7 linked regions of the Rattus norvegicus genome follow. The protein of the gene in region 3 interacts with the protein of the main gene of each other region in a pairwise test. Links are inferred from orthologs where the notes say so. Each region holds a gene or a part of one and is shown on either strand. Other genes may lie near its edges.

Region 1 (4,449 bases), on a different chromosome or scaffold from region 3:
TTAGGTTTAATAGCACTGTAACAATTAGGAAATATGGGGGCTGGAGAGATGGCTCAGTGGTTAGGAGCACTGACTGCTCTTCCAGAGGTCCTGAGTTCAACCAGCAACCACATGGTGGCTCACAACCACCTGTAATGAACCGATGCCCTCTTCTGGTATGTTTGAGGACAGTGAAGCTGTATTCATATGCATAAAATAAATAAAATCTTAAAAAAAAAAAAAGGAAATATGGGGTTGGGGATTTAGCTCAGTGGTAGAGCGCTTGCCTAGGAAGCGCAAGGCCCTGGGTCCTGGGTTCTGTCCCCAGCTCCGAAAAAAAAAAAAAAAAAGGAAATAGAAATACTTAGTTACACACCCAAGCCCACTAAGGTATTTACAATATTACAAATTTTAATATTCTGGGGGCTAGAGAGATAGCTTAACTGTCTCAGAGGTTCCTGAGGTCCCAGGTTCAATTCCAGTATCCACATGGAAGCTCATAATCTTCTGTTACCCCAATACCAGGGGAGTCTAAGGTCTGAAGAAACCAGACACACACTAGTGCAGACATACATACATGAAGATAAAACACCCACACAAATAAACAATTAAAAAGTATAATATTCTGGGAGATGACTTCCTATATCTTATCTAGGTATTTTTTAATAAAATAGTCTATTAAAAACGAAAAGCGATGCTTAATTTTTCATAATCATACATACCATAACAGTCTGGCATCAGCAGTTAGACCCGCAATTGAGATACCAATATGGTTGTCAACGTGGAGAATTTTCTTCTGGTGAGCGGCAAGCTCTGACTGTGCTCTCTAAATAGACACAGCATTTTAGTTTGGAGGTTGATTATTTATCAGTGAAATTTACATTTGATAGCTCTGGCTCCTGAGGGAGGAAGATAGGGTCATCATGTCACTCACCTTCAGCGCGACCAGCACTGCATGTGTCTTCGACTTCAGGCCGACTGTCGCTGAGCCTTGCTTTACAGCTTCCATTGCATATTCGATTTGATGAATCCTGCCCTAAAGACAAAATAATATTTTTCACTTTTTGAAACCAATAAACTAATTTTAATTCTAACTTTAAGCTTGTAGCCCATAAGCTCACAAGCTTTGTTTCCTTTTTTAAAATAGGGTTCCACTAAGTTGCTCAAACTGCCCACCAACTCCATGATCCTATGGCTCTGGCCTCCTGACCAATTAAAAGATTACAATGTGAACCTCCAAGCCCAGTTTATGATCTCACAGGTTTCTGACCCTACTCCAGCCATGAAAAGTCACTTCATTAATAGGTCATAAAACATTTTACCTGAGGGCTCCAAACAGTGACATCGTTGTCATACTGGTTGCGAAACTGAAAGTGGAAGAAAGATTAATATGAGAACATTACAATTTTCAAATTTTAACAATAAGACATGTGTTTCAATTGTTGAAGCCTCTCTGCTAGTGCAGCTTTCCTGAGACACTATTAGAGTGCTCAGTTTGCAATGCAATTCTACCTTAATCATGTACAGGCTGTCGGGATGAATGGACTAGGGTCTTCCTACCTTCATATTCTGCCATTCTCCATAGCACTTCCCTCGGGCAGTCAAGTGCTAAAGAATGCACACTTTGCTCATACTACTCTCTTACACAGGGCTCTAATAATTTGGCAAAGGGCTTTTCTTTAAGTCGACTTAAATGTCTATCTCTTGAAGGTTTCTTCTTTTTTCCGAAAATTCTCAGCACAATTTTCCAGCAGAGCTAAAGTCTCATGCAGCCCAGTTTGGCCTTCATTTGCTATATACCTGGGAGAATGATCCTGAAGTCCTGCTTCAGCCTCCCAAGTGCTCAGATCACAGGTGTCTGCCATCATGCTCAACTATATATATTTTTCCCCCTTCTCTCTCTTTCCGACTCGGATTCTACACTCTGGCTGTCCTGGAACTCACTGTGAGTTAGGCTAGCCTCAAACTCACGAATTCTACCTGTCTCTGCCTCCTGAGTGCTGGGATTAAACTCAAGCACCACAACACCCGGTCTTTTACATACCTTTTTATCTTTATAGTATGATTAAAGTTACGTTTGGCTTAGCTTTGAGCTTTCTTCCTGTACTTTACCACTGGATGAACAAACACACGAATTCTCAGTAAAAAGGTGGCCACAAATAGCTACCGTGGCAGAACCACTATAGCTATAATGTCATTACTAAAGCAAGTTTGTCGGCCCTTGGGAGTATAATATTCATGAGGGTAAAAAGACCAAGAGTTTGCATGGCAGACTCGACAGAAGCAGCCCAGGGCCCTACGTTGTAAACCTGATTCTATCACTTTCTCTTTCATCTCTAGGTAACAAAACAAAATGATTGTATGGAGCCTTTCCCTACGGCACTCTAATGAGACGGATAAAGCCAAATACACCCACAAGGAAGATGAACTTGGTCTGAAGACCTGACTGCAGGCTCTGGTCTGCACTGACGATGCCAGATGCACCCTTTCACCCCTATAGTCTCTCTCCTATGCAGATCACGAAGGACCATACAGCATCTTGGAATAGGCCACTTAAGTAAATTGGGAGGGAAGGACGACTGGCTGGCCGAGAAAGAAGCGCCTGGACCCCATGCAAAGTGGAGAAGCTGCGCGATAGGCCGCCTAGGTTACTGATCGCTTCCCGCCGGCCAGGCCGCAGATGCTGAATCACTGCAGGAGCATGTCCGTGAGGTAAGCTCCCTCTCCCACCGCCCCGCGCCTCAGGGAACAGAGGCCGATCCCCGACCAGGTCAGCTGACCTCAGCCCCAAACCCTCCGAGGACTCGGGGCTCAACACACCATAGCTCCGGCGAGGTTACAACCAGACACAGCAGCGGACACAGGAACACGGCCTCAACTACGGTTCGGTGATCGTCAAAGAAGGCTGCGGAGTCTTCACGGCGCCGACGCAGGAAGTGCAGTCTATCCCAGAGCCACGGATCAGCGTTTAACGCTTCCCCGCCCTCCAGCTCTGGGTGGGCGGGGCCTGCGAAAGCAGATAAAATGGGATTGGTGGGAAACCCGGGAATGCCTGTGCGCAGAGAGGGTTGGGGGCGTGGTTCCATGTCAAGCGCTGTGTTTCCGTGTTTCCCCCCTCCCCCCCCAGTGGATTGCAGATTCCCGCCAACTCTCGGTCCACTCCACTGAACATCGCCCCCAGCTAGGGATGGTGTGGCGGACCCGCATAGATTTCATCACAGTGCCCAGAGGTTTGGGAAGCAGCACGACTGAAAGAGGTTGCAGAAAAAGCCACAGAACCATTCATTCTCTCTCTCTCTCTCTCTCTCTCTCTCTCTCTCTCTCTCTCTCTCTCTCTCTCTCTCCCTCTCCCCCTGTCCCTCTTCCCACTCCCCAAACCCTCTCGTGTGTGTGTGTGTGTGTGTGTGTGTGTGTGTGTGTGTGTGTGTGTGTGTTCGTTCGTTTGTGGTCCTGGCCCCTGAATATCTTGAGTACTTGGCGAGCCCATCCTTAAAGGCTCCTTGGTGTCTCGTGGTCGTATTACTCATTTTGTGATCATTAGTTGCCATTGTAGGACCAGGTTTCTGTTCTGATATTTGATTTTCGCTGTCCACAACCAAATGCCATATATGATAGATTAGGCCACTAGGGGGAAGGTGCGAGTTTTCTTACGGATTTTTAAAGAGCATCTTTTGATTTATCCCCAAACGAAATCAAGACAGTTCTGTGCTCACTGATCTACCTAACATCTACAGACTGCCAGTTCTGTTGAAGAATAGAGTCAGGTCTTTAAGGATCTGAACTTCAAAGGAGGAGTAACACATCACTTAAATGTCTCTGTTCACAGTAATTAGTATCACATTCTAAATATCTTTATGTATGTGTATATATGTACATTTTTTGTTTTTACATATGTTTTTTGTGTGTTTGTGTCCCTGCATACACTTATGTGAAAGTCTGAAGACAATGTTGGTGATTATCTCCTTGCACTGTGTGGATTCTGGGATTGAACTTTAAATTGATAGATAGGGCTGTTTTGTTTGCCCAGCACCAGCACAGTGCCTAACACATATTAGGTAAATAATTTGTATTGCTGAATGAACAATGGATTTTGAATGAATGGGTAATTAAATGCTGATTTTAAAATAGTTGGGGAACCGACTGCAGAGTGCCATTTACAACCATCTGTAACTCTAGGGGATCTGGCTTCTTCTGGTTTCAGCGACACTTGTGCATACATGTTGTGCTTCTACATAGGTAAAACACTCATATACATAAAATAGTTTTTTTAAAGCACCCAAATTAGCACATCTACTTTTAGGATTTCTTTTTAAAAATGTTATAAAAATCTTCACAATTCTTTCCTATAGTCATGTGCCTCACAAATATGTTTTAAAATAAGATTATACTAAACTGTCACTTACTGATACACTTAAAAAGTTTTAGCTAACTTACCATGCCTGTAGGTAATGACCTATATTATTTTTAGTA
Region 2 (3,890 bases), on a different chromosome or scaffold from region 3:
AGCAAACTGGCCAAGCAGTGGCCACTCAAAGAGTGAAGAGCAGAGCTCAGGGGGACAGAAGGGGGCTGGGTTGGAGCCAGGTCAGGGAAGGCTGGGAAGCCGCCAATGAGGCATCTTCATGGTGTTTCACGTCAATCCCTAAAGCCAGTTGCTGTCCCAGTTTTTGTGAGGTTCTGAGAATGGGAATCGAGCCCCCAGACGCCCAGGTCTGGGCCAGCTCGGAGTCTAGGGAGAGGCTGCTGGAACGGGAAGCGGAATAGATGGAGATCGAGCCTAGGGTGCAGAGGCAGGAAACTTAAGCTGTCTTCCCCGGGTTGACTGGCCCTATCTCTTGAGCTCCGTGGGCCGGGGGGAAGGCAGAGGCTCCATTTGTACCTGCATGCCTGTTGGTAGGTGGCGACCGAGTATGGGCTTGTGCACCGGGCCATGGCCCAGCCCCCCGTCCGAGACTACCTGCCTGCCTCCTGGACTAACCTGGCACGTGTCAAGGCTGAGCACTTCTGCGCCCTGGCCCACTATCACGCAGCCATGGCCCTCTGCGAAAGCACCTGTGAGTGTGGCACTCCACATGCCCGTGTGTACCCACAGAGGTTCCCTGCTCAGGCTCATGGCCTTTCTGAACCCCAGCAGCAGCCAAGGGTGAACTCTCAAGGCAGGAGGACATCTTCCAGCCCTCAGCTACCTGTGAGCCCCAAGGTCCCACACTGCCGCAGCACCCAGAAGAGCGCAGGAAGCTTGGTGAGGCATCACAGACAGGGCCCTGGGCTAAACATAGCACAGGCCCCATCGTCCTCGGCAACCCTCATCCCTGAGTTGGCGGGAACTGATAAGAGCAGGGTTGTTGAACGGGGCAGGCGGGGACATAACTGGGGAAATAGCTCTTTCTTCCCTTGCTCGACTGTTTGGCCTGGCAGAACTTTCCTAGTTTGGCCAACACTGTCTGACCCTGTGGCCCATTCCACTTTCTGATGCATCCTGAGACAGAGGGTCTGGAACTCAGCCTGGAAGGGCCAACTTGCATGCATGGTGTGCGTGCGCATGTGTGTATGACAGTGCCCTGCCTGTGCCCAGCCAAGGCCCACCTGAAGCGTGCCATCCTGGGCCAGGAGGAGGCGCTGCGGCTTCACACTTTGTGCAGAGTCCCGCGCAAGGTGGACCTGCTACAGGTTGTGGTGACTCAGGCACTGAGGCGCTCCCTGACCAAGTACTCAGAGCTCGAGCGTGAGGATGACTTCTTCGAGGCTATGGAGGCCCCCGACATCCAGCGTGAGCATCGGGGGCCCTTTGGGATGGGTATACCAGTCCGAGGGCCAAGCTGAGCCCCTGCAAGCTACAGCTGAGAGGCAGCCAGCCAGCCAGGTGTGGTAACACGTGTCTGTGATCCCAGCCAAGCACCAGATACCCTGAGTCAGGAGGAAAGAGTTGAAGGTCAGGCAGGCTGTGTTGAGGAACGGAGCCTGAGAGGCTATCTGGCCAGCATCCCGTGCCACCTCCTTTCCTGCTTGACTCTTGCAAGGCAAAAGGGGACAGAGGCGCAGTGCCAGCTGGGGTTTCCAGGAGTATTCCTGGGAGCCTCTACATATATTCAGGGAAATAGTACAGCCCCAGCTGACAGTAGGGACAGCTAGGCTTTGAGGTCCTAGGACAGTCCCATGTGAAGTTGTGGGCCACACACTCCTCTGAGCTGAGCCAAATCTCACTGGTGGTTCTGGTTCTGGGAGGGCCAAGGGCCTAGGGCTCGACTCCAATTCCCCTTTCCCTCCTGTCTGGTCAGCCAAGACTCACCAGGCCCCAGAGGTGAGCATACCTAGCCTGTCGCAGGTGAAGGTGACTGACTTCTTCCACAGGCTGGTGAGCAGGCCAGTTCCCCACCTGTCCCTCTTCCCCTTCAGGCCCCTCCCCGGTTCCCGCTCCAGGGTGTGTGGGCTAAGATGGGGTGCCAGACAGATCAGGGCTCTGTGACTGCCACTCAGCCGGCCCTCTACCACTTGTCCCCTCCCAGGGACCCCTATCCGTGTTCTCAACCAAGAATCGATGGCAGTTGGTCGGGCCGGTGCACATGACTCGAGGAGAGGGAGGTTTCGGGTTCACGCTGCGGGGAGACTCGCCAGTCCTCATCGCTGCCGTTGTCCCTGGGGGTCAGGCTGAGGTAAAGGCCCTCTAGCCCCTGATGCTGGGATCTTAGAGGACCATAATGTACTGCCACCGCCTCACTGGTCCACATTCTCCATAGTCTGCTGGCCTGAAGGAGGGTGACTACATCGTGTCTGTGAATGGGCAGCCTTGCAAGTGGTGGAAACACGTAGAAGTGGTCACGCAGCTGAGGAGCATGGGCGAGGAAGGCGTGAGCCTGCAGGTCGTGTCCTTGCTGCCCGGCCCCGAACCACGTGGCACGGTGAGCGCTTGGCCTGGGAAAAAATCCCCAACCCTCAGTCCTATCCAGCCCTGGCCGCGCCCCAACTCTGCCCCGTGGTACCCAGAGAGACAGTGGCCAAGCAACCTTCACTAGGGTTGACTTTCTGGGTACCTCTGACAGGGCCTTCATAGTGTGGCTTCTGTCCTGCTCCAAATGAAGCCCCCAGACCACCTCAGTGGGATTTTGACCCCAGGGTAGAGGTTATCCCAAAGGTCACATCTGTCCAGCATGGCCACTCCAGGGTTGGGTAGCAAGCAGCAAGCAAGGAGCCTCACATGGCCACCCCAAATGCCCCTAACATATCCCTAACACACCTATGGCTCCTAGAGGCCTCTAATCTCTTCTCAGGGTGGCCACAGGTAGGTCAGGCAGTGATGGCTGACTACATCCACTGCTGTTATGACCGTAGGGACCCCGACGGCCAGCACTGCTGTGGAACCAGAGAGAATGTGGTTTTGAGACTCCGACGCCTGCACACACCCGACCCTGGCCCATCCTCGGCTGGAGCCGCAAGAATAAACAAAGCAAGAGTGGGAGCCACCCTGACCCCTGCACCAACAGGAACTGTATCACCTGCCCCTGAGCTGGACACCCCGTACCCCTGTGTGTCCAGGGTGGCCGTGGGGGCCATACTCCTGTGTACACCATCCTGTAGCCAGCCCCAGCTAGCCAGGTGTGCCTAGCGCATTGCCCTCTACTCTGGGGGACCATCAGGCTGCCCCTGCCTGGCTTAGAGATGTCTATTAAAAATGCTGGTCAGATGAGGCAAGTCTGAGTCAGCTACCAGAGCCGTGGCCACTTTACCCCACCCGAGATCTTCTCAGTGTAATCCAGACGCAGTGCTTACACTATCCTCCTGCAGCAGGCCTCTAGGCCCCTGCCATGCCCCATCTACTCTTCGGCTGCCTGACTATCCTCACATCCAGTTTCTCTGGGCACGTACCCTTATGGTCCTATCCTGACTGCGCCTGGTTCATAGTAGCCCTTCTGGTCACCACCCTCCCTTGCTGGTTAGTCAGTTTCTCTGTATGTAAGATCCCAGCAAAGACATTTTCTCTCCAGTCCCCTTATACTCCCCCCAACTTTCAAGCCCCCCTGTCTCCCATTCCACCTGCACCCATGCAGGTCCTGGCAGGTTCCTCAGTAAGGTAGGCCCTGGACTCCAGAGGCACAGGATGGGGGCACCAGGTAAGAAGCAGTCCTAAACTGTGCATGGCTGAAGCCATGGAGATGCTCTCCCTCAAAGGCCCTGGAGGTTCAGCATGGAAACAGAAAGGCTGTATGTATCTCTCTGTGGTAGAGAATGCAAGAAACTCTGGGCTCAGTCCCTGGAACTAGAAAAAAACAGAAACAAAAAAATTAGAGGGGGAGATTGCTCTCTGTGACCACCAGGGGGCAGTGTCACTCATTCATGCAGCCCTAGGAGGCTGCAGCTCTTCCAACCCCCACGAATCTGAGAATCCGTGGACAGCCC
Region 3 (3,035 bases):
CTCCGGTCCCCCCCTCCCCCACACCCTGCGACATTTTACCTCCTTGGGATGGGAGAAGTCATAATTAAATCCTGCAATGGGCTGAGAGTGACCCCACCTCGCGTTGGACTAAGAAGCTAGTTGCTCCAAAGGCGGTTACCATCTACAAATCGCTGGTGTTTAGGGTAAGCAGGGTACCACTTGGTCTCATGCTTGCTTGCTTGCTTTTTCTTTTTTCTTTTTTTTTTTTCTTTTTTCTATTTTGGGTAGAAATATCTCCAGGAAACTAGATAGAAATGCGTTTTTCATTTCCCAATAATTCTTAGGCACAAGTTAGAAAACTGCTGACCGTCGCTAAAATATGTCAGCGCATCGTGTGTTATATATGTATATATATATAAAAAAAAGCAATTCGGAGTCGCCGCAGGTGTGTACCCACGCATCTGAATACACACCCGCAGCGGTGCAAGGAGGGTTTTCGAGTATTCGAAAAACGGAGCTGTTTGTGGCTGACCTAAAGTTCCGCTGCGGAACTCCGTCTCTCAGGAACAATTGGAGCTGTTTCTCTTTTGCTTCTAACTATACTAAAGCATTTTGTTTTTGTTTTTGTGTTTTGCTTTTGGACACCAGACTCTGCTGCTTACGCCTTCCTAAGCGCCAATACCAGGACGGTCTCACACGAGGGTCAGAGAGGACTCTGCCTAAGATGCAGTATGCAGCTACTGAGCATGCGCACAGGGCAGCCACCAGCACCGGCCAGCACTCCCTCGGACGGACAGAAGCTTGAGCTCCTGTGGGTGGCAGGGTGATGTCATCTAGGTGTGGTACTGACTCTGGCTGGAGAGGAGGGTCCAGAGGAGGAGCCCCTGTACACCGGAGATGTGGGGGAGAGTTTAATCGGGCTGGTCGGGTCCCCAGTCTGGAGCTTCCAAAGTAGTTCCTCGTTGGTTCGGCTCAGTCTCTTCTTTTCCTGGGTCTCTTTCTCCACGTATTCCTGGAGATTAGCATTTTCCTCCGACAGTTGTCTGCGTGGGGGAGAATGGTAGTTAGCAGCGGGAACCATTGGGCGTACTAGTGACAGAGGCTGATAGGCGGAGGCCGGGGGCAATTCCCCAGGCTCGCAGGTCTCTCTGCTGGGTTAGGGGGCAGTTGTGCACAGAGCAAAGAAAGGCTAGAGGCTGGAGTAGGAAGTGGGGGAGATGGTAGGTCACGTGGGCTGCTGCTACAGCCCATAGGAGGGGTTGCTATGGAGATTGTCTACGGCTGTGGTCAGGGTACTGACTAACAGCGCCAATCAGCCGGGAATATTTTCCCGTTACCTCCAGCCCTGAGTACGTGCCTCTGCGATTGAAGTCATTAGCTCGGCTGTAGAGTCGGTCTGTCTACATGTCTGTCTGCTGGACCACAAGTCCTAGAGGGCAGGGGTCAAGACTCTGTTATGTTCTTGGCTGGCGTTCAGCATGGCATCCAGAAAAATAGATGTTTGATCACCGTCGGTTGATAACGGGGGTCGGGGGTGGGGGAGAGAAAGCAATCGTGTGTGTGTGTGTGTGTGTGTGTGTGTGTGTGTGTGTGTGTGTGTGTGATGTCATGGTGCTTAAATTGCTGGCTTTGCTGCGTGTTTTTGGTAATTTTTGTACTTTATGTGTGTGTTTTGGCTGCGTGCATGCCCGAGAACCATTGCATGCAATGCCTGTGGAGGCCAGAAGAGGGCGCGGGTCTCCTGGAACTGTTAACTCTAACAGATAGCTGTGTGCTGTCAGGTAGGTGCGGGGAATCAAACTTGGGTCTTCTGGAAGAGCAGCCAGTGCTCTTAACCACGGAGTCACCTGTCTATTTCAACTTGTGTTTTAGAGAGTGATCGCTGCTTTCAGGAATCGGCCAGAGTAAGTACAAATACATTTTACAACTGGATGGGCTAAAGTCCCAGAAAGGTACTCTGGGCTGACGCCTGCACTTGCTGTCTGAGGAAAGGTGGCTGGGTATGTGTGGGCGTGTGAACAAGTGGCATGCCAGTGTATAAGCATGCACGTGCATCAGTGTATGTGTAAGTGTGAGCACGCGTGAATGGATATATACATGAGTGTGTGCACATAAGCATGGGTGTACACAGGATAACATATCATAGCCACACCGAGGAGTCTGGTCCAACAGAATGGGAAAAGGCGAAGGCCTCCATCTCACTCGGGCGACTTAGCCTTGCCCAGTATAATAACCTGCAGCCAGCCACAGACGCCACAGACGTTTTCACTGCACTCTGAGCTGGGGTCAAGAGTGACCCAATCCTTCCTTGAAAGCAGGAGCCTATAGGGAAGAGCTGACCCGATTTTCTGGAATATTGGGGTTACCTAGCCATGGTTCTCTTTAGCTGGGGACTTTAGCTGATGCTCTTCTCCTAATCTCTGGGATGAAATCTTCCTGCTCTGGGGCCCCTGCTTCCTGGGCTTGAGGTCCTCACTCACTTCTGGGGAACGGGGCCGGCTGGGATGCAGAGCTGGGATGTGTACCATGGGGTCACGGCCATCTGCTTTTCTTCTGATCAACTGAGAGGCACCAGGAGATTGTTCAGACTGGATACTGGGACATGCGGATGTTCCGGGAAAGCCACTTTGAGAAGGACGTAGTGAGAAACTGGGCTCACCCACCTGGTAACAACCGTGTTCTGGTCGATCCTCGCTTTGAGGTCTTCGTTCTGCTGCTGGAGTACCTGGATCTTTTCTTCCAGGATGATGTTCTTTTCCACCTAGGAAAGAGACACCAGTGAAGAAACTCCCACTGGATCAGTGGCCTTGGCTTCTGCACTTTGGAGGGTTTCCAGGAACAGGACTTTGCTAACCGCTCTGTGCAAAGCTTTTGTGGGCGGGAAAATCAGGGGAGATGGATGAGGGACCAGCACTGCTCTTTTCAGAAAGACAGAACAGAAAATGCCAGAGTGTGCTCTGTTGGTAGTAAAAAGCACTGTGGTACATAGTTTAGACTCTCTCTCTCTCTCTCTCTCTCTCTCTCTCTCTCTCTCTGTGTGTGTGAGAGAGAGAGAGAGAGAGAGACAGACAGAC
Region 4 (4,615 bases), on a different chromosome or scaffold from region 3:
TATTTGCTTGATATTTGAGACAGTGTTTTTCTGTGATGCCCTGGCTGATCTGGAACTCACTATGTAGGCCAAGCTGGCCTCAAACTCAGAGATCCACCTGCCTCTGCCTTCCAAGTGCTGGGATTACCACCCAAGTGTATCACCACTGGCTGGCTCCAGTTCCTTAAGATCTTAAATATTCTACATATGTAAGACCTTGAAATTAGGAACTTGAGAAAAGCTGGGGCCAGAGAGATGGCTCAATGGTTAAGAGCACTGGCTATTGTTCTTCCAGAGGACCTGGGTTCAATTCCCAGCACCCACATGGCAACACACAAGTATCTTAAACTTCACCTTTGACATCCTCTCACAGACATACATACAGTAAAAACACCAATGCACATAAAATAAAAAATAAAAGGGAAAAAAGGAATTTAAGGAAAAACTAGCTTAATAGTTTGTAATGACTATTCCTGGTTGTCAAGTTGAGAATGTCCGGAATGAACTACAATCCAGAATTGGAGGGCACATCTGTGATCCAGATCTTGAGGTTGGAAGACACAAGTATCTGATCTGGATATTGGCATGGAGATCTTGAGCCACAGTGGCCATGAAAAGCTTAGGCCCAGGCAAGGTAGTACAGGCATTTAATCCCAGGAGACGGGCCAGGAGACCTCTGAGTTCAAGGTCAGCCTGGAACAAAGCAAGTCCCAGATCCAGGAGTGGTGGTCCACACCGTCATCTGAGCCACACCTTCTGTCGGAGGTCTACATAAGGACGTTGGAAGTAGGAAGACTCACTCTTCTTCACCTGCTTGCACTGACTTGCCAGCACATCTGTTGGAATCTACGTCCACAGCAGACCAGCTGAAACAACTAGCCTCATGGGACTGAGCAACTCCTAGGGTCTTGGACTTCCCATCCACAGCTACCCTTTTTTGGGATAGTTGGAATGTAGACTGTAAGTCACCACAATAAATTCCCTCACTATAGAGAGACATTCTATACATTCTGTGACTTTAGAGAACCTGACAAATACAGTTCTAAGTTTTTGTATTAAGACTTTCCAAAGCTAGGCATGGAACTGCTCACCTTCAATCCCAACATTTGAGGAGCAGAGACAGGCAGATCTCTGAATTTAGGCCAGCCTGGTCTAAATAGCAGGGTTCCAGGATAGCCAGGGCAACAAAGAGAGACCCTGTCTCAGTAACAAAGGAACAAAAAAGTGTACTACCATCCACCATTCCCTGCTAATGTTACTAGTTTTTTTTTTTTTTAAAGATTTATTTATTTATTATATATAAGTCTACTGTAGCTGTCTTTAGACACACCAGAAGGGGACATGAGATCTCATTACAGATGGTTGTGAGCCACCATGTGGTTGCTGGAATTTGAACTCAGGACCTCTGGAAGAGCAGTCAGTGTTCTTAACCACTAAGCCATCTCTCCAGCCCCCTCTTTTTATAAAAATGTATTTATTTATGCATTTTTAAATATGAGTGCTTTGTCTGTATGTACATCCTCACACCAGAAGAGGGCATCGGATCCCTTTATGGATGGTTGTGAGCCACTGTGTGGTTGCTGAGAATTGAACTCAGGACCTCTGAAGAGCCCCTTATGTTCCTAAACACTGAGTTCTCTCACCAACCCTTAATGTTACTATTTTTAAGTAGGATTATGCTACAATATTCCATTTCCTAAAGTTTTATTTTAAAATCATTAACTGTCATTAAAAAAAAATTTCCACAAGATTAGTATTTCTCAGAAGACAGTTTGCAGAGTAATAACTTTAAAGTCATCTATTTGCTTCTACCCTTTTCCACTCCTGGCTTTCTCATTCCACTGACCTGTGCTTCCTCCGGCAGCAGCTGTTATAGTGGGGAGCTCTGTGTAGAGCATTCTGGGTGATTATTCGAGTCTGGGTTAGCAAAGGAGCCTGACAATGAGAGAAGAGAGTGAGTCAAAGCTGTCAGAAGCAAATGGCCCCTCATGCCTGTTGCGTGCAGTATAGCCCCGTCTAAACAACACTGATGCCCTCACCTCAGTTTTGCTTTCTGTCTTCAGTTCGTTCTGCGGTCGTGGATTTTGCTCTGTTCCCTTGCCTGACTGCTTTTTTCCATAGAAAAGCTTCAGACCTAGGAAGAAGAAAAGCAAGGGAGAATGAAAAGATTTTGCCAAAATGTCAAGAGTTCATTCTCTATCTCCCGCCCTCCCTACTTCTCTTAACTTACTGGATAGATGCTTCTTGCCTGCACGGTGAGCTGTCAGCATGGCCAGGGTGTCCAGTACTGGTCGATGGGGGCAGATGGCACAAGCAAAGCTAGGGAAACAAGAAAAGTGAATTATAAGTGTGTGTGCGTGTGCGCGTGTGTTTTGTGTTCCAGCCTGCAGTCGCGGTGTACTTGCTATGGTGAGTAGATCCTACTTCTGTCATAGCACTCCTCCAACTCCCAGGTTTCCCAATCTCCACCCCTTCACTTCCAGCCAAAGAATACTATTATACTCCTGAACTCCTTAGTAACAAAAGTTTGTTGAGCCTCTGATCCCCGAATCCCCAGGCTTGATCCACTCTTCGCTCTCACCGTCCATCCCGCAGCATCAGCGCCTCATCCTCGGGGATGTAACTAGCTAGCAAGTCTCCAACTCTTCGTTTCTGCAGGAAGCAGGATAGAAGAAATGAATGAGAGGAACGGATGGATATTAAATAATACAGAGGAGTCAAATGGCACGGGGCCATGCAGATCATAGGGTAGAAAATGGGGTCACCTCTCAGTTCTGGTCCCCTAACACCCTCCCCTAGATGTCGCCAAAGCAACAAACCAAAGCAACAGGGCGGCTGAAGGTGATCAGGTGACTCTCACTAGGGCTTACTTTGAGCACATTGAGCTGACTCCAGTCGTCCCCTTCCCTCTTAAAAGACATCGCGACTATGAGAATATGATAAATTCTACGCCTACTTCGCTGCTCCTTTAGGCCACCGTAGGAAGAGTACACTATCGCCTTCTCTGCTTCCGGTTTCTTTCTGAGTCTGTACTTCCGGGGATGCTTTTCCACGCATGCATCGCGCAAGCCGGAAGACCCGCCTCCAGCGCCCTGAGGGGATCTGTATTTCCTATGATACTGCCTGGACGCTGTGCCTTTTGGGAAATGAAGTCTTTTGGTTATCTATTTTATTTTTTAATTTTTTTGGAGAGAACACCGCTCACCTGGACACAGGTCCTCGCATCTCGAAGGATCCAGGTGTTTGGAGACCCAAGATCCTGTACGTGGAGCCGGAATTTCAGGGTGGGACCCTCCTGAGGTGGAGGGAGGCTTCGGGGGATCTCAGTGGACTCTATATTGCAAACTTGTAGTCCTCAGGCTCGTCCTCCTCAGCCACAACCTACCTGGGGTGGGTTTTATTTGGAACAGAGAGGATGTGGGGGCTCCCGGCGTCCTGACTGTTGGATGTAGGGACACACTGAGGGAAGAGTGTTAATGAGGGTGTCTAGGGTTCAAAGGTCAGAGATCAGGCTTGCGAGGAGTTGGGGAGGGGGCGTCGAAAGTCCACGGGGTCAGCGACTGACAACTCAGGGAAGATATTTATGGGTAAGGGGCTTGAGGAAGAAGAAATGTAACCGGCCTGGAAGACTTCTTAAGATACGAACTGTAATTCCGAGCTCCGTAAGAAGCATCGAGAGGAGGAGGACGAATGTAGTCTCTCGAGAGTCGGGAGACTGAAGAGAAAAGAGAAAAAGAATTTTCTGAATATCCATTCTCTGGGTTCAGCCGTCACTGTTGGTCACTTAGCTGGGCTTTCCTCAGTTGTGACCCTAGATCTTGGAAGTGAGGAGATGGCTTCGCCCTCTAGACAGCCTCCCCTCGGAGGGTCAGGGCTGCTACGTGGGAGCCGTGCTCGTTCTTATGGAAGCCTGGTACAATCATCCTGCTCCCCAGTGAGGGAAAGACGCCTGGAGCATCAATTGGAGCCTGGAGACACCCTGGCTGGATTAGCACTCAAATACGGGGTGACGGTGAGTCTTCCAGGATTGAGGTAGTCCCCAGGAGAAAGTGGGTGGCCCGCTAAGCAACCACCTCTGACATTACCCAAATTATATTATGGCCTGTTTTTTTCTTATTTTGCTTTCACATCTTTGTGTAGTACTATTGGGCCAGATCTGCCCAGCTATCCCAGTGGGAGGAGCAGCTCCCGTGAAGGTGGGTGAGTGGGGGCGGGGCTTTCAGCCATTAACCAGACCTTGTGCCCCTATCAACTTAAGACTGATAAACCAGTTTGATCAAGGTCAAATCACTTGAGTGTCAGAAGAAAGGTCTGTCTGACTCTAAAGCCCATGCTATTAGCCAAGCAGGGGGAAAAATAATGAGAGTGACTAAATCTAAATTTACAGAAGTAAAGAAGAGCTGACTTTTAGTAGAGCTCCTAAGGCGCCTTCTGTAGTTCTTATTTCCACACCAGGGCTCTGCTCTCTTTATGTAGAGAAACAAAACAAGTGCCTTCTACATATCTCAAGTATTTCAGGTCAGACCTAGGAGAGGTTTGATGGACATACAAATATCTTCCGTTAAAGTTGCAGCCTTCCTGTCTATATCCTGTTTTACCACATACAAACAAATGTTGGACTTAGACAAATTCCCAT
Region 5 (4,491 bases), on a different chromosome or scaffold from region 3:
AAGACCCGTACTGTAGATGGAGTCATCTATCCCAAGGCTGAGGCAGGAGCAGCTGACAGAGTTCAAGGTTAACCTGAATAACTCTAATAGACCTGATCAGAAACCAAAGCACATCAAGGCTGGGGCCACAGCGCGGTGGTAGAGCATTGCCTAGCACACACAGGGCTGGGAGTAGACATCAAACTGGTTAAAGTCGCCCCTTTGCCTTGAATTGCATTGGTTTTTGTTCTTGAATGTGGATTTGCATTAACAATTACTGTCTTGCTTCAACCGTGAACTTCTTGAAGGCAGGGGCTTCTGCACTTAGCTTGGCAGCGGAGTCAAGGAAGGGCTGCTGGATTAAGTGGTGGGACAGTTTGTACTCTACACTCACAGATACGCTGCCCTGCGATGTCCTTTTCATGCGAATGGGATGTGCCCAAGCTTTGATATGACTCACTATTTAATAAGCATACCAGAATTTATACATCCAAACGAGGGCTGCAATCCTTCAAAGTCTTCCCTTTGTAAGACGGGATTCTCAGTCCCATGATGCTGGCATTTCCGCAGACTCTTTAGATCCCCTCTCTTAGGTACAACCCTGGCATTTATAACACTTACTTTTCAACGTCTCCCAGGCTATCCTTCCCTCATTTATTACCTCCATCTCCATCTTGAGTTGTTCGTGCTGGGTAAACGCTAAGATAGATCTGGAGAGTTGCCGCCTTCCAGAGTTTGTTTCACCAGATCAGACTGGGAGAGCCACGGCAATAAAAATTTAATGATAGTGCTTCAGAGATTGTTTGATTTGGGGGGAATAGCAAAGGCTTTTCTTTGATTTTAAGTTTCCCAAAGTGAAGAGGTGAGTGCCGGAGCGAGGTAGTAACTAATTGCTTTAAGCCAAATGGTTCTAAGACTCCTAGCCCGAGCCCACGTGTTTCTTCTAAATTGATCTGACGTACTTCTTTGAAACTCAGACTTCTAACTTCATGGCCAAGCTGTCCCGGACCCTGGGTCATCAGCAGCTAAGTTCCAGCTCTCTGTGAACCACTGCTGGGACCCACTCTTTATTATTGTCCCAGCATCCGGTGGACCTATTCACAGGATAAAGATTCATGGAGTTACAACAGAGTCCATGACGGGTCTCCCCTTTCTTCCCTGCTTTCTGAGAAGTGACAGTTCTGCAGATCCCAAGGGACAAGGAAAGAACTGAAAGGCTGATGTTGGAGAGGGCTGGAGAGGGAAAGCGGTGGCGGATCTGGGAGCAGAGCCGGGAGTTCCTGCTTCCTGCTCCCGGAGCGAGTGTCCTCCGTAGCAGCCTCGGGGAAGGGAACAGCCCTTCCTGCTCCGGTCCGCGTACTCCAGGAGCACAGCGAGGCGCGCCCCACCCCGGCGGAGGGGACGGTTTTTAGCAGGAGGTGGTGGAGGGATTCAATGCCACTCGGGGATGTGGGAAGCTGGAGGTGAGCGGGAAATCCGTAGATCACAGTCAAGGCGTGTGGGCACGAGTGGCCAGAGGCGCCGAGGGGTCCGCGGGGTTCTCGGGTGTCTCCGTCGTGCCCCGTCCCGTGGTCGCCCGCGGTCCCCCGGGCTCCGCCCAGCCGCGGAGCCCAGCCTCTCTCAGGCCGGGTCTCCTCCCTAAGGTGCGGGTGGCAGCGCCACTCCCTCCGCTCCCTCCCCAGCCGCGCGCGTCTCATTCCAGCGCCCATTCCGCGCATTCCTACCGGGCTCCTCTGCAAACTCCGGCCCCGGGGGTGGGGACCGCCTCAGCTACACGCTCGGGCCCCGAAGCCGTCGCCGCGGCTGGAAGACTTGGCCCCCCGCGTGGACTTGGTGCAGCCGGCCGAGCGCTCCCACCCCGCCTCCTGAACCCTGGGACCGGTAAGGCTGCTGAGTTCGGGCGACATCCGCGTCCTGCATGGTCTCGGGCAGCACTAGGGGACCAGTGGGGCACGTGGGGGCGGCGGAGTCCAGAGACTGGACAGAGCAAGGTCGCCTGGCAGAAGTTTTAGAAGTTGGAGACTGATGAGCCTCAGTCAGGCCCTTTTCTACTTTTCAGCCTGGAGAAGGGAGCACAGAAGGGAGGTGTGTTGCTTGGACCTTCTGCAGAGGTCCTCAGGGTTTGAGACGCCGTGGGCCCTATGGGTGAGAAGTGATGGACCATTGCTCCCAAACTCCAAGGCACTCTACTCTAGCAGGCAGCCCAGGGGCGCGCCGCGGTGCACACACGTGTCAGGGGGCTCCAGGCACACCCACATCCATCCCACTCAGTGAGTTCAAGCGAGGTATTACTTACCTGCGCCAGCATCCTTAAGTTTTGGGTGTACCTGAGGAAGAGATATCTGCGCGCTGTGACTCACCTTGCTTTCAGGAGGTGTATTTGTTTGTGCTAAACAATGCGACAGTGAGTGCATTGCTACTTGAAGAGGGTGCTGTCTGAAACCCTAAGTGTCCGGGTGGGTGTGTGATGCCTCCTCTCCAACACCCCTCGTCGCTCTGAGGATGTTGGTTCTGGCTCTGACTTCTTGCAGAACCGGAGCAGGGGACAATGTCTCCAAGTTCTTTGTGTTCAGGGAGAATTTGACAGTAGTAGTTGGAAGTGTCCCCTCCCGGCCCTCCCGCCCCCCACTCCTCACCCCAGCTCTGCTGGGTTGAGCTTTGCTGGCAGGAAGCTGCCTACACCTGCCCCCCTTCCAGGCAGCTGTCTTTCTGAGGGAGTGTGGATCCTGTTCTGGCGGAATCCTTTAGGGAACTGCTGGTAGGCTAAGCAAAGCTGAGATCTTTGCCCCCAGGGGCTAGGATGGGTTGTTGGTAACGTTTATGGGGGTGGACCCTCTAAAAGGAAAGGAGCTTGTTAGGTTGTTTTCTTTTGAGACAGAAGTCTCTTGTAGTCTAGGCTGGCCTGGTCCTACTACCCCAGCAGGAGGTGGCTTTCATTCTCCTGCCTCAAAAAAAAAAAAAAAAAAAATTACAGACTGGAGTCCGTAGGCTTAGCTGACCACATGGGTTGTTGGATAGTGTTTGTTGGGCGGTTGATAGAGTTTCAAAGTTGCCTTCAAGGACAGGGGTGTTAGTGTTCTCTCTGTAGGAACCTTGAAGCAATGAGGAGAAGAAAATCTCTCATTCCTGAATAGCCAGGGTCTTGCTCTGAAACCCAAGCTGGGTTCAAACTGGATATCCTCTGCCTCAGCTTCCCCCTCATTCTTCACAGTTAGCTAGATGACCTTGTTTCTGTGGGGAAACTTGATAGCTCACTGTAGGAAAGCTTTAGTGACAGGAAGGTGAGGGCTGCCTCCGACTTGGTAGCTGAGTCCAGGATCTTGACAGGACGGTGGTGTGAGAGTCACAGACTTGGCATCAGGGTTCTCCCTCATTAACACAACACAAAAGTGATGGCTGTGGTTTCTCGGAAGGAAGGAACAGAGAACCATGTCAGGAGTGAGGGGGAGGGGCTCTTGTGTTTATCTTTCCTTCTCTCCTGCTGATGTAGATAGTCAGCTGGGACATACCTCATATTCCATACTGCTCAGGCCGTGTCCACAAGGGCAGCTCTCATGGGGTAGGGAACACACAGGTGTGGGGTCAGACAGACCTGGACATGAATCTTGATACTCACTACCTTTAAGGCTCTTGGGCTCCGTTTCCTGATGAGTAACATTGCGGGGTGGGAATGAGGGGTGAGTAACTAAAGCCAGTGCAGAAAGCTTGCTCTGAAAATTCAGTGTCTCTAAAGCGTCTGTTAGCACATCCCAGGGCCCTTGGAAATGGTGTATCCTATGTTTTCCTAAGCTTGCTTTGGCAACCCCCTCCCCCTTCCCCTTCATTCCAGGGCCCTTGGAAATGGTGTATCCTATGTTTTCCTAAGCTTGCTTTGGCAACCCCCTCCCTCTTCCCCTTTTCATGTTGAGGATTGGACCTGGAGTCTTGTAACATGTGAGACTAGAGGATTTTGTGTGATTATTCTCTGGGCACCCTTTGGGCAACCTCACCACGTATCATATTTATTTTGCCAACATGAATTGGGCATTTTCTGTGGGTCCCGTGCCATGGGGAGGCTTCCACCAGATAACATAATTCTCTAGCTCCCATATTCTCATTTCTACTTTTGCCTGCTCTCAGGACATTTGCTGAGCACTGTAGGATCCTCAGTCAAAGTCCAGGCCCAGGGTGGGGAAACTGAGACCCAGGGAAGGACCATAAGGTGTTTAGAATTGCACAAGCTCTGAGTGGCAGAGATGGGACTGGAAGCTCTTCACTTTGGATTATGTCTCCTGCTTTGTGGACCCTATCCACTTTCATCTAATGGTCGTGGAGACTGTAAGAGTCTGACCTGGGTGGTGTCTACCATCCTGGGATACACATCCATGTTTGTAGGCAGGCATTATCTCTTGCATCCCAGCAGAAAGTATACACTAACTTCCCTATGGCAGGATATAAGCGCATGGCAGTCTGTGAGGATGTCAGGACCGCTTTCAAACATACTCTCCTTCATCTAAAGGCCTAAGCATTACT
Region 6 (4,664 bases), on a different chromosome or scaffold from region 3:
ATGCTCCTGTGATGCAACCGAGACCCCTCCTTTACTTCTGCATATAAACTCTTCTCAGAGTGGCCGAATGGACCCAGAACCATTTAAACTGGTAACATTTAGAACAAAGGTCAAAGGGTCTCCCCCGCCCTAGGCACTTTATTACTATCTGTGATAGTGGGGCTGGAGAGATAGCTCAGTGGTTAAGAGCACTCACTGCTCTTCCAGAGGTCCTGAGTTCAATTCCCAGCAACCACATGGTGGCTCACAACCATCTGTAACGGGATCTGATGCCCTCTTCTGGTATGTCTGAAGACAGCTACAGTGTACTCACATACATAAAATAAATAAATCTTTTAAAAAATATCTGTGATAGTTATTCTTGGTTGTCCATTTGACTACATCTGGATTTAACTAAAACCCAAAAATGGAAAAACACACATGTGAACAATTTTTGCCAAGTCTGAAGCAGGAAGACCCACTGGTTTTTGTTGTTATTTTGTTTTGGAGACAGGATTTCTCAGTGTAGCCCGGGCTGTCTTGGAATTTGCTCTGTAGACCAGGCTAGCCTCGAACTCAAGAGATCTGCCTGCCTCTGCCTCCCCCATGCTGGAAGACTGCTTGGTGGAAGACCCACTTGTAATCCAGATCTTTGAGGTGGGAGAACACACCTTTATTCTTGTTACTCAAAGTCAGAAGATACACCTTCTGGTGGAAACTAATGTAAAGACATGAAGCTTTTTCTCCCTGCCACCCCCCAGAGCAGGGTCTCTCTGTGTAGCCCTGCCTGTCCTGGAACTGACTCTGTAGACTAGGCTGGCCTCAACTCAAGAGATTCGGCTGTCTCTGCCACTACCGCCAAGCTGCTTTTACTCTTTGCCTACCTGTTCTCACTCTCATTGGCAACTCCACTCCTTCACTGTCATTATCTTCTTTGGGATTCTGATGTACAATGAAGATCAACTGAGACATCCACTCTCGTTGACTGAATGACTACTGGAATTTTGAACCTTTCCATTTATAGAGCCACATATATACTATTTTAAAAATAAAAATCCAATATTAAGAACTAAAAAATCAGGGGTTGGGGATTTAGCTCAGTGGTAGAGCGCTTGCCTAGGAAGCGCAAGGCCCTGGGTTCGGTCCCCAGCTCCGAAAAAAAGAACCAAAAAAAAAAAAAAAAAAAAGACCAAAGAACTAAAAAATCTTGCTAAGTCCCCAAGCCTGTGCAATAATATGCAGACACCTGGCTAGAATTTTAAATTCCTTCGGTTCTACTGATTCCCCGGGGTCCAAAACCCAACTCCTTAGCCTCCTACTCAGGGTGACACCTCACACTGCCACTATGAGGCTCGCCGGAACACTGCGGCCAGACAAAGCATAAACACTTGATCTGAGTGACCGGCGTCGCACCCGGTGGGCGTCACGTGACAGACTCGGCGTTCCTCCAATCGCTGTGCGAATAGTAGGGATTCCATCTAGTACTTGGCCTCAGGCTTACAACGCCCTGTTGTTCCATTCCTCAACCGGGCCCGCTTTTTACTACCAACCAGCTGGCAGTGACTCTCAAGTGTTTTCCTCTCAAGCAGTTTCGAGGGGCTCGGGCCTATAGCGCACTCAGCTCCGGAAGTGACGTTTCCCAGAGGGGCCGGAAGTGGCAGTGGAGGGAGGGAAGATGGCGGAGGTGGTGAGTCCGGTGCCCGGGGCGGGGCGGAGGGAGCCAGGGGAGGTGGGTAGAGCCCGAGGCCCCCCAGTAGCCGACCCTGGCGCCGCGCTGTCTCCCCAGGGGGAGATAATCGAGGGCTGCCGCCTGCCCGTGCTGCGGCGCAACCAGGACAACGAAGATGAGTGGCGTGAGTGACGTCGGGGGGCGGGTCCAAGGAACCTGAGGGCGAGGGGCGGGAGGGAGTCAACGATCACACGGGAGGGGGAGGGGCTTCTGCAATCCTGGGGCGGTCGCAGATACTCGGAAGGAGGGGCGTGACTTTTGGACGTACGGAGATGATCCGGGCGGGGCTTGGAGAGAGGTGTCACTTGGTGACTAAAGGGGTCTTGAACTAGCCCTTCTAAGTGCTGGGACGTAGACATCCAGCCTAGAGGTGGAATTCAGGTCGAAGGGTGGAGTCTCATGATCTGCCTTGATTAAGACCCCCTGTCTGTGTTGTTCCCTTAGCCCTGGCTGAGATCCTGAGCGTGAAGGACATCAGTGGCCGGAAGCTTTTCTATGTCCATTACATTGATTGTGAGTTCTGGGCCTGGAAAAAGTGGGTTGCTGGATAGGGTTGAGGGCAGCCTCTGGCATCCCTCCTGAGCCATTTTCACTGCTGCAGTCAACAAACGTCTGGATGAATGGGTGACTCACGAGCGGCTGGACTTAAAGAAGATCCAATTTCCCAAGAAAGAAGCCAAGACACCTACCAAGAACGGACTTCCTGGGTCCCGCCCCGGCTCTCCCGAAAGAGAGGTGGTGAGTAGGTCCCCCATTTCATCTTTTCTCTCCTGCCTCTTCCTTCTTGCATCTCTTGGCCTCAGGGGTTCCTGAATGGGCAGGAGGCAGCATTCTTTTGCCATGGCTTCAGCTTGCAAAGGATGGGGACCAAATTGCAGGTGTAGCTTCCAGAGTCCAGTATTGCCTTGCTTTAGAGAAGGCAGAGGGTGGGATTTGATCACTCCATGCTGAGGGGCCCATCCTCCCCTTCGCCATCCCACCACCATCCCCACCCCAGAGGAAGACCCTGGACCTATCTCTACAGCCGGCCTCCGCCCAGGCCAGCGGGAAGACCTTGCCAATCCCGGTCCAGATCACACTCCGCTTCAACCTGCCCAAGGAGCGGGAGGCCATTCCAGGTGGCGAGCCTGACCAGCCGCTCTCCTCCAGCTCCTGCCTGCAACCCAACCACCGCTCAACGGTACCCTCAGCAATTCCAGGGACCTTGCTTTCTTCTCAGGTCCCACCTTCTCTACCTTCTGACCCACCTTTCCTGGTTTCTCTCTGCAGAAACGGAAGGTGGAGGTGGTTTCACCAGCAACTCCAGTGCCCAGCGAGACAGCCCCAGCTTCAGTTTTCCCCCAGGTGAGTCTTCCAGTCTTTTTACATGTATGAAGGTTTTGTCTGTGATAGTCATATGTTCTACTTGCATGCCGGGTGCAATGGCCAGAAGAGGGCATTGGATGCACTGAACTAGAGTTGTGTGAGCCCCATGTGGGTGCTGGGAAAGGAACCCATGACCTCTGGAAGAGCGGGATTCTTAACCACTAAGCCACCCCAACAGCCCGTCTGGTCTTCCCCCCTCTTCTGTCTAGCATCCTCCTCCAGGATCATCTCATGGTCACCCTTTTTCTTCTGTCATCCACAGAATGGATCAGCCCGTAGGGCAGTGGCAGCACAGCCAGGACGGAAGCGGAAATCTAATTGCCTGGGCACTGATGAGGTGGGTATCAAGGAGCAGAGGAAGAGGGAAGCTGGGAAACAGGGAGTGGACTTGGGCATGGAGAGTTCATTCAGTGACCAATTTAAAGCAAACAAGGTGTTAGTTAGGCAGTGAGGGTGTTGGTTGGGCAGTGAGGGTGTTGGTTGGGAGCCAAGCAGATGAAGCATTGGGCTATTTTGTTTGTTTGTTTGTTTGTTTTGTTTTGTTTTGTTTTTTTACCATACCAATTTCTGGTTCTTGGTTTATTTTGGAAAGTGGAGATTATGATGCTTGCCCCTTAGTTGATGGTAGACTTGAAGGAAGAAACCTACGGCAGTGTTGTGAGCCATGTTCTGCTTACCTGCTGTTATCTGGTATTTTCCATTTGCCCTGGGCAGGATTCTCAGGACAGCTCAGATGGAATACCGTCAGCACCACGCATGACTGGCAGTTTGGTGTCTGACCGGAGCCACGACGACATTGTCACCCGGATGAAGAACATTGAGTGTATTGAGCTTGGCCGGCACCGCCTCAAGCCGTGGTACTTCTCCCCGTACCCTCAAGAGCTTACCACGCTACCTGTCCTCTACCTGTGCGAATTTTGCCTCAAATATGGCCGTAGCCTCAAGTGTCTGCAGCGCCACTTGGTATGAAGGGTCTTGGGAGGCTGCCTACCCAGTGTACCCTCACCAGTCCCCACCTGATCCTCCTTTTGTCCTTAGACCAAATGTGATCTTCGACACCCTCCAGGCAATGAAATTTACCGCAAGGGCACCATCTCCTTTTTTGAGATTGATGGGCGGAAAAACAAGGTCAGTGGCTTGTGCATGGGGCTGGAATACATCATATGAACAACCTTTTCCTGCTCAGAACAGTTGACCACTCTGGCTATAGATTAGTTCACTGTTTTTATTGAATGCCTGACGTAGAGCTGGGGAATGCACAGAACACTGGCATTTAGATACATTCTCTTCCCGGAGAGGTCACTGTCCATGGCAGAAGTAGACATACCAGCTATTCAGATCCCAGTGTGAGGAGTATCGGAAACAAAGGCTGGGTTAGCAGAGTTCAGAGGAAGCTGTCAGGAGCTTGGAGGTGTGTATGCCTAGAATTCCAGCACTCAGAGAACTCTGAGTTCAAGATTAGTCTGATATGAGTTCCAAGCCAACCTGAGCTATAAAATAAGAAAGACCTATCTCAGGGAACCAAAGCAAAAACCTGTAAGACAGCAAAGGTTAAGTGTAAAATTGGAGGCAGTTAAAGAACAGTGTGGCC
Region 7 (4,601 bases), on a different chromosome or scaffold from region 3:
TGGTTTGCTAATTTGCGGGTACAGTGTCAGACTCTGAAATATCCATGTCCTCTTTTTGAATTTAGGGGAATCAAAACCTAACCTTATCCTATTTAGGATAAATATTAAAATTATTCTGTGGTCTAGAGAGTACCATATGAATATATTTCTCTGGTTGTAGCTATTTCTTCTGTTTGAGTTAGCCAGTGTCAGGGACTCATAGGGACATGTATTAAATACTCCCTTGAGAGGACGTACTTAGTTTAGGAATAAAGTCGGCTTTAGGATTCTCAGCTAAGCTAGAAACACGCTCATATTTTTAAATTAGACGTTGATAAATTACATTTACCATTTACTTTTCTTGAACTAAACATTATCTTTGCACTTTCTAAAATTTCTGGAAGAAATGCTCTTTTGGAACTAAAGGTAATAATCACTTCATAGTAATTTTGAGTTTTCAAAGAAGACAAGTCCGTAAGAACCGACTGAGACAACAGTCCTCAACAAAGAACTCCATTAACCCCTGGAACCAGTCTGGGCATCTGGCTGAATGTGGCAGGCAAGGGTTTGACTACTTCCTTTGTTCTGCTCACAGAGAACCCCATAGACACTCTTTTCCAAGGACCCATTCTGATCTCTTTCTCTTTTTAGGATGAGCTGTCCTATTGGAATTTATACTTCTCTAAAGGGAATAATTTTAAATCAAGGTGGACGCATTAAAAATTCTTTCTCTGATGTCCCTTATTCCCCTATCCCCTCTCTTTCAGTCAGTCATGATGTAGCCCTGGCTGGCCTTGAACTTACAGAGATCTGCTTGCACCTGCTTCCCAAGGGCTAGGGTTAAGGTGATGCACGACAATATCTGGCTCTAGAGTCCCTAACTTCAACAACTGCTTACAACATCTAGGATGATTAAAGGATGGGACTAAGGGGAGATGGAGACATTTACACCAAAGGGTAGAAGTATCAGAGGCCTGTGTAGTGTTTGACTTAAATAGTTGTAGTAACTGCCATTTTCAAATGTTCAGCCAACCAAGTGCTACATTTGGGTCCTTTAAATCTCTGTCTATTTCCTTGTTCACATCCTTTTGGGGAGGGGGTTATGAGCCTCAGAAGTGACATCACTGCTAAAGGAAATTCTAATACTATGGCCTTTGCAACCGTCAATATTCTTTGTAACTGCATCTCATTAACAAGGCATTTAAGGTTCTTCTATGATTATGGATGAAAAGGGGTGTAAGTTATTAAAGACATTCCTTAAGAAGACTTTTAAATTCATCTTACTTGAATTCTTCGGGGTGGATGCCTTTTGATAATACTCGTTTCTTCATGTTTCAGTGGGATGTCTAGATACACGGCCCTGGATACTTGAAAGATTGGGGGGAGGGGCAATAATAATAGACCATTAATTTATTGTCAAGTTAGGCATCCAGGGTGACTATCTACACAGTTTGCATCTTTCAATTACACACGCCTAACTCACTGGTTGGATGCAGAGAGGAGACACACAGAGCAGGGCTCCTGCACGAATGCAGGTGACAACATTTTAGTCTGATTTATTCTTTCTGTATCACCCCGGGCTGGCAAAAAAATGCAAAGTTAACTATGTACTGGTCACAGGTATTACTCAAACACAGAATTTAGCCTGGAAAATAGAAACTTACCGATTAGTCTTAAGACATCTCCCTCTGTACTGGAAATGAAATCCAGGGTCTCACATGTACTAGGCGAAGTGCTCTATCTCTGAGCTGTAACTCCAGCTCACAAGTTCAATAGCATGAAATCCTCCCCCATTCCCCAAATGAAGGGAAGAAGAGTCCATTTGTGTTATTGATACGGAGTGTGAAGAAGATAAAAGATGACACAAATGTATGGAATATGTAACCAGATAACACATGTAAACATGGATTTCTCATCCCAAGTCAGCATATCTGTTTTAATTATCTTTATGGTCACCAGGAGACATTTTTACACATCATAATCAATATCCAAGAACAACTTGCAGCCACTTTAGGCCCAGAGCTTCCCCATCAGTGTGGGAAAAAGTTTCTTAGTTCTGTGATGACCATGAAGAACATGGGGTTAAGGAAGGGTGACTCACCCACTGTCTCTCGTGTAATAAATCAATTCTGTTTGGGTTGGTTTCACAATTCGCATTGGAGAGGGCTACTCCTACACTCCTCCTACTCTCAAAACTATAAAGCCTCATGCATTAAGTCCCCATGGAGACAACAGCTTAAATTTAGACTCCCAACTGAAGCACTACTGTCACCATTTAGCACATGTGGCCTTGTAATTTCTGTGGCCTTTGCGATTGTCAACATTCTCTGTGACTGCACAAGGAAGTGGGCATAGGCATTGAAATCACCACAGACTCAGGTGAAACCAGACGGTGTTCCCTTATACAGAAGGGTGAAAAGCACTTTATCCAGAATTGATACAAGCATTAAATTTAACAGAAGACATTCATCTGACAAGCAATCAGTCCTCAGTGAAAAATATTCTCCTACATTTCAATAATCTAGATTTCCAGAGATCATGGAGACAGTCATGTAAATGTACCACAGCCCTCCCAAGTCCCAGACATGCAGCTCTCATGTTTGGTTTTGCCATACCTGCAGGGAGTCTTCCATACCAGGTTTCTCTAAGAGGTGGTAGCTGTTCCAGAGTTCGATTTTGCTCCTGCAGTCTCGTGAATGAGTATGAACTTTTTTCTTCCAGGTTCCGATTCAATGCAAAGAACACGGGGCAAGTTGAGGGTGTCTTCGCTTCTTGGCTTTGTAAAGGTGTGACTTTGATCACCTGAGGGTGAGTCTTGGAGTGGCCCAGGCCCATGTTCCTTGAAATATTGAGAAGAAAACCATGATGGAGAGGGCTTGAGAGCCTTTACAGAGCTTGATTTAAGTATTTTCAGGAGTTTACCTTGGCTTACCAAAGCAGGTGTTTCCTTCATGACATCCTCCCTGTTCTGTACCCCTGACACTAACTTCTCTGGCCACTTCCTGGGAGGTTGGTTTCCATGGAGACTTCCCTTCAACTTCTACTTTGCCATTCCAGAACTAAAGAATGCAGTTAAACATTGACTTGGTTATTCTACTCTCTGAAAAACTCAGTTACATGGAGAGAAGCTTTCATTGATCATTAAACAAGTATCCAACCCCAGGCCATTACCAGACACACAGAACAGGGTTTTAGAGAAGTCTTAGAGGCCCCCTTTCATAGTAAACATGTTAGGAAGTACTAACAACCTGGATAAGCTAAGTTGTTAGAAATGAGAGGACAGATGCTAATGAGTTAGGGCTTTGCTAATCTATAATTTTAATTAGAGAATATGTCTTCCAGTTAGGAAAAGAAGCAGGGGCAGATAATGCTTCATCTGATTTTTCTGTCAATGATTTAAGCTACCTTTGAAGGAAATGAGTACATTACAGGAGAATGAAAAAAACAGTAAGGAAATTTTCCTAATCTCCCTGCTGGGAATGAAGGAACAAATTTCTTAAATAACTGATCCAAATAAAAACCATTTTCAAATAGATCCTATTTATTATGTCCTTTTTTTTCAAGTAGAAAAGAAAATGGAGGGAAATGTGCCAATGTCTTGAACAGTGGGCTTTGAGTAATGGCGTTATGGGTAATTTTTATTTCAGTCCTTTACTCAGAATGGAACTCATGTCCATGTTTGAATTGTTCATGACCACAGATCACAGGTGCTTTTGGCATACCTCCATAGAGGACTTAAAAATATTTTCCATGTTGTGAAATCTATTTGCTAAAGAGCTATCATGGTGATTAGGAAATGAGAAATGAGACTCAGAAAGGATTAATTTCTTTGAAAGCTACATCCAGTGCAAGTGTTTATTGTTTTCTTTGCTATTGTTTTGTTTTCTTGTGTGTGTGTGTGTGTATGTGTGTGTGGTTGTGTGTGTACATGTTCAGGCCAGAGGTCAACCTTGAGTGTTACTCATCTAGACATCATCCACCTTGTTCTTTTTTTAAAGACAGAGTTTCTCTCCCATTGACTTATTGGGTTGGGTTGGCTGGCCAGCAAGCCCTAGGGATCTGCCTGTTTCTCCCTCTCCAGCATTGGTATTATAAATGTACACTACTGTGCTTGGCTTTATATATGGGCTATGAGAATAAACTCAAGACCTCATGGTTTCCCAGCAAACCCTGGACTGACTGAGCCATCTGCACAGTCCTATTTTGTCTTCTATGACAGTGTCTTGCTGTGTAGCTCAGACTGTCTTTCAGGTCATTGTGTAGCCCATGGTGGTCTCAAATCGATGATCCCATTTCTTTCCAAGTGCTGGGACTATAGGCATTGCCATCATACCTTGCCAGGGTAACAATTATTAAGAGGAATGGCACAGAGAAAAGAGGGTGATGAGGACTTGGGGAAGATGAGAAGAATCAGGAAGCAAGAGCCAAATATACCATTTCTAAAGGTGTTCAATCAAAGCCCCTAGCCTAGCACAGCTCCACAGGCAATGTGGCCTGGAGATTCCCAAGAAAAGTACAGGAATTGGTAGGGTTAGAGCTTGGGCCTTCGCCGCTCTAACAAGCTAGGCTGGACCACTCATCCTTAATAAGCCAAGAGTGAAAGAAAGAAAAAGGAGATTTAT

The links.
Region 1: the proteins of Mtus2 (region 3) and Psma1 interact in binary tests that used the Homo sapiens proteins (3 or more experiments, as listed by UniProt). The two-hybrid records come from large-scale screens. The link is inferred for Rattus norvegicus from reciprocal best matches to the Homo sapiens genes MTUS2 and PSMA1.
Region 2: the proteins of Mtus2 (region 3) and Rhpn1 interact in binary tests that used the Homo sapiens proteins (3 or more experiments, as listed by UniProt). The two-hybrid records come from large-scale screens. The link is inferred for Rattus norvegicus from reciprocal best matches to the Homo sapiens genes MTUS2 and RHPN1.
Region 4: the proteins of Mtus2 (region 3) and Scnm1 interact in binary tests that used the Homo sapiens proteins (3 or more experiments, as listed by UniProt). The two-hybrid records come from large-scale screens. The link is inferred for Rattus norvegicus from reciprocal best matches to the Homo sapiens genes MTUS2 and SCNM1.
Region 5: the proteins of Mtus2 (region 3) and Tead4 interact in binary tests that used the Homo sapiens proteins (3 or more experiments, as listed by UniProt). The link is inferred for Rattus norvegicus from reciprocal best matches to the Homo sapiens genes MTUS2 and TEAD4.
Region 6: the proteins of Mtus2 (region 3) and Kat5 interact in binary tests that used the Homo sapiens proteins (3 or more experiments, as listed by UniProt). The two-hybrid records come from large-scale screens. The link is inferred for Rattus norvegicus from reciprocal best matches to the Homo sapiens genes MTUS2 and KAT5.
Region 7: the proteins of Mtus2 (region 3) and Ccdc198 interact in binary tests that used the Homo sapiens proteins (3 or more experiments, as listed by UniProt). The two-hybrid records come from large-scale screens. The link is inferred for Rattus norvegicus from reciprocal best matches to the Homo sapiens genes MTUS2 and CCDC198.

The regions. Positions count from the first base shown.
Region 1 is NC_086019.1:177,884,968-177,889,416, forward strand, and holds the start of Psma1 (proteasome subunit alpha type-1), read right to left. Parts: upstream 2,891-4,449; 5' UTR 2,803-2,890; coding exon 2,800-2,802; exon of another isoform or gene 2,320-2,799; intron 1,347-2,319; coding exon 1,302-1,346; intron 1,016-1,301; coding exon 914-1,015; intron 806-913; coding exon 702-805; intron 1-701. UniProt on the Homo sapiens protein: Component of the 20S core proteasome complex involved in the proteolytic degradation of most intracellular proteins. This complex plays numerous essential roles within the cell by associating with different regulatory particles.
Region 2 is NC_086025.1:109,279,189-109,283,078, forward strand, and holds part of Rhpn1 (rhophilin-1), read left to right. Parts: intron 1-393; coding exon 394-550; intron 551-627; coding exon of another isoform or gene 628-630; coding exon 631-738; intron 739-1,071; coding exon 1,072-1,266; intron 1,267-1,774; coding exon 1,775-1,851; intron 1,852-2,002; coding exon 2,003-2,149; intron 2,150-2,233; coding exon 2,234-2,395; intron 2,396-2,764; coding exon of another isoform or gene 2,765-2,779; exon of another isoform or gene 2,780-2,825; coding exon 2,826-2,999; 3' UTR 3,000-3,890. UniProt on the Homo sapiens protein: Has no enzymatic activity. May serve as a target for Rho, and interact with some cytoskeletal component upon Rho binding or relay a Rho signal to other molecules.
Region 3 is NC_086030.1:11,744,481-11,747,515, forward strand, and holds part of Mtus2 (microtubule-associated tumor suppressor candidate 2), read right to left. Parts: intron 2,723-3,035; coding exon 2,625-2,722; intron 1,005-2,624; coding exon 791-1,004; 3' UTR 1-790. UniProt on the Homo sapiens protein: Binds microtubules. Together with MAPRE1 may target the microtubule depolymerase KIF2C to the plus-end of microtubules. May regulate the dynamics of microtubules at their growing distal tip.
Region 4 is NC_086020.1:185,390,812-185,395,426, forward strand, and holds the start of Scnm1 (sodium channel modifier 1), read right to left. Parts: upstream 3,012-4,615; 5' UTR 2,901-3,011; coding exon 2,850-2,900; intron 2,798-2,849; exon of another isoform or gene 2,745-2,797; intron 2,632-2,744; coding exon 2,561-2,631; intron 2,299-2,560; coding exon 2,210-2,298; intron 2,114-2,209; coding exon 2,019-2,113; intron 1,915-2,018; coding exon 1,826-1,914; intron 1-1,825. Other genes in the region: Lysmd1 (lysM and putative peptidoglycan-binding domain-containing protein 1), read left to right, coding at 3,812-3,991. UniProt on the Homo sapiens protein: As a component of the minor spliceosome, involved in the splicing of U12-type introns in pre-mRNAs. Plays a role in the regulation of primary cilia length and Hedgehog signaling.
Region 5 is NC_086022.1:163,255,203-163,259,693, reverse strand, and holds the start of Tead4 (TEA domain transcription factor 4), read left to right. Parts: upstream 1-1,351; 5' UTR 1,352-1,860; intron 1,861-4,491. UniProt on the Homo sapiens protein: Transcription factor which plays a key role in the Hippo signaling pathway, a pathway involved in organ size control and tumor suppression by restricting proliferation and promoting apoptosis.
Region 6 is NC_086019.1:212,329,379-212,334,042, reverse strand, and holds the start of Kat5 (histone acetyltransferase KAT5), read left to right. Parts: upstream 1-1,649; 5' UTR 1,650-1,654; coding exon 1,655-1,666; coding exon of another isoform or gene 1,667-1,765; coding exon 1,766-1,832; intron 1,833-1,903; exon of another isoform or gene 1,904-2,016; intron 2,017-2,152; coding exon 2,153-2,221; intron 2,222-2,309; coding exon 2,310-2,446; intron 2,447-2,705; coding exon of another isoform or gene 2,706-2,732; coding exon 2,733-2,888; intron 2,889-2,977; coding exon 2,978-3,052; intron 3,053-3,335; coding exon 3,336-3,410; intron 3,411-3,787; coding exon 3,788-4,036; intron 4,037-4,111; coding exon 4,112-4,201; intron 4,202-4,664. UniProt on the Homo sapiens protein: Catalytic subunit of the NuA4 histone acetyltransferase complex, a multiprotein complex involved in transcriptional activation of select genes principally by acetylation of nucleosomal histones H2A and H4.
Region 7 is NC_086033.1:25,003,580-25,008,180, forward strand, and holds the start of Ccdc198 (coiled-coil domain containing 198), read right to left. Parts: upstream 2,964-4,601; 5' UTR 2,912-2,963; exon of another isoform or gene 2,902-2,911; intron 2,819-2,901; 5' UTR 2,815-2,818; coding exon 2,595-2,814; intron 1,347-2,594; coding exon 1,264-1,346; intron 1-1,263. UniProt on the Homo sapiens protein: May be involved in tuning the metabolism, energy expenditure, and excretion processes.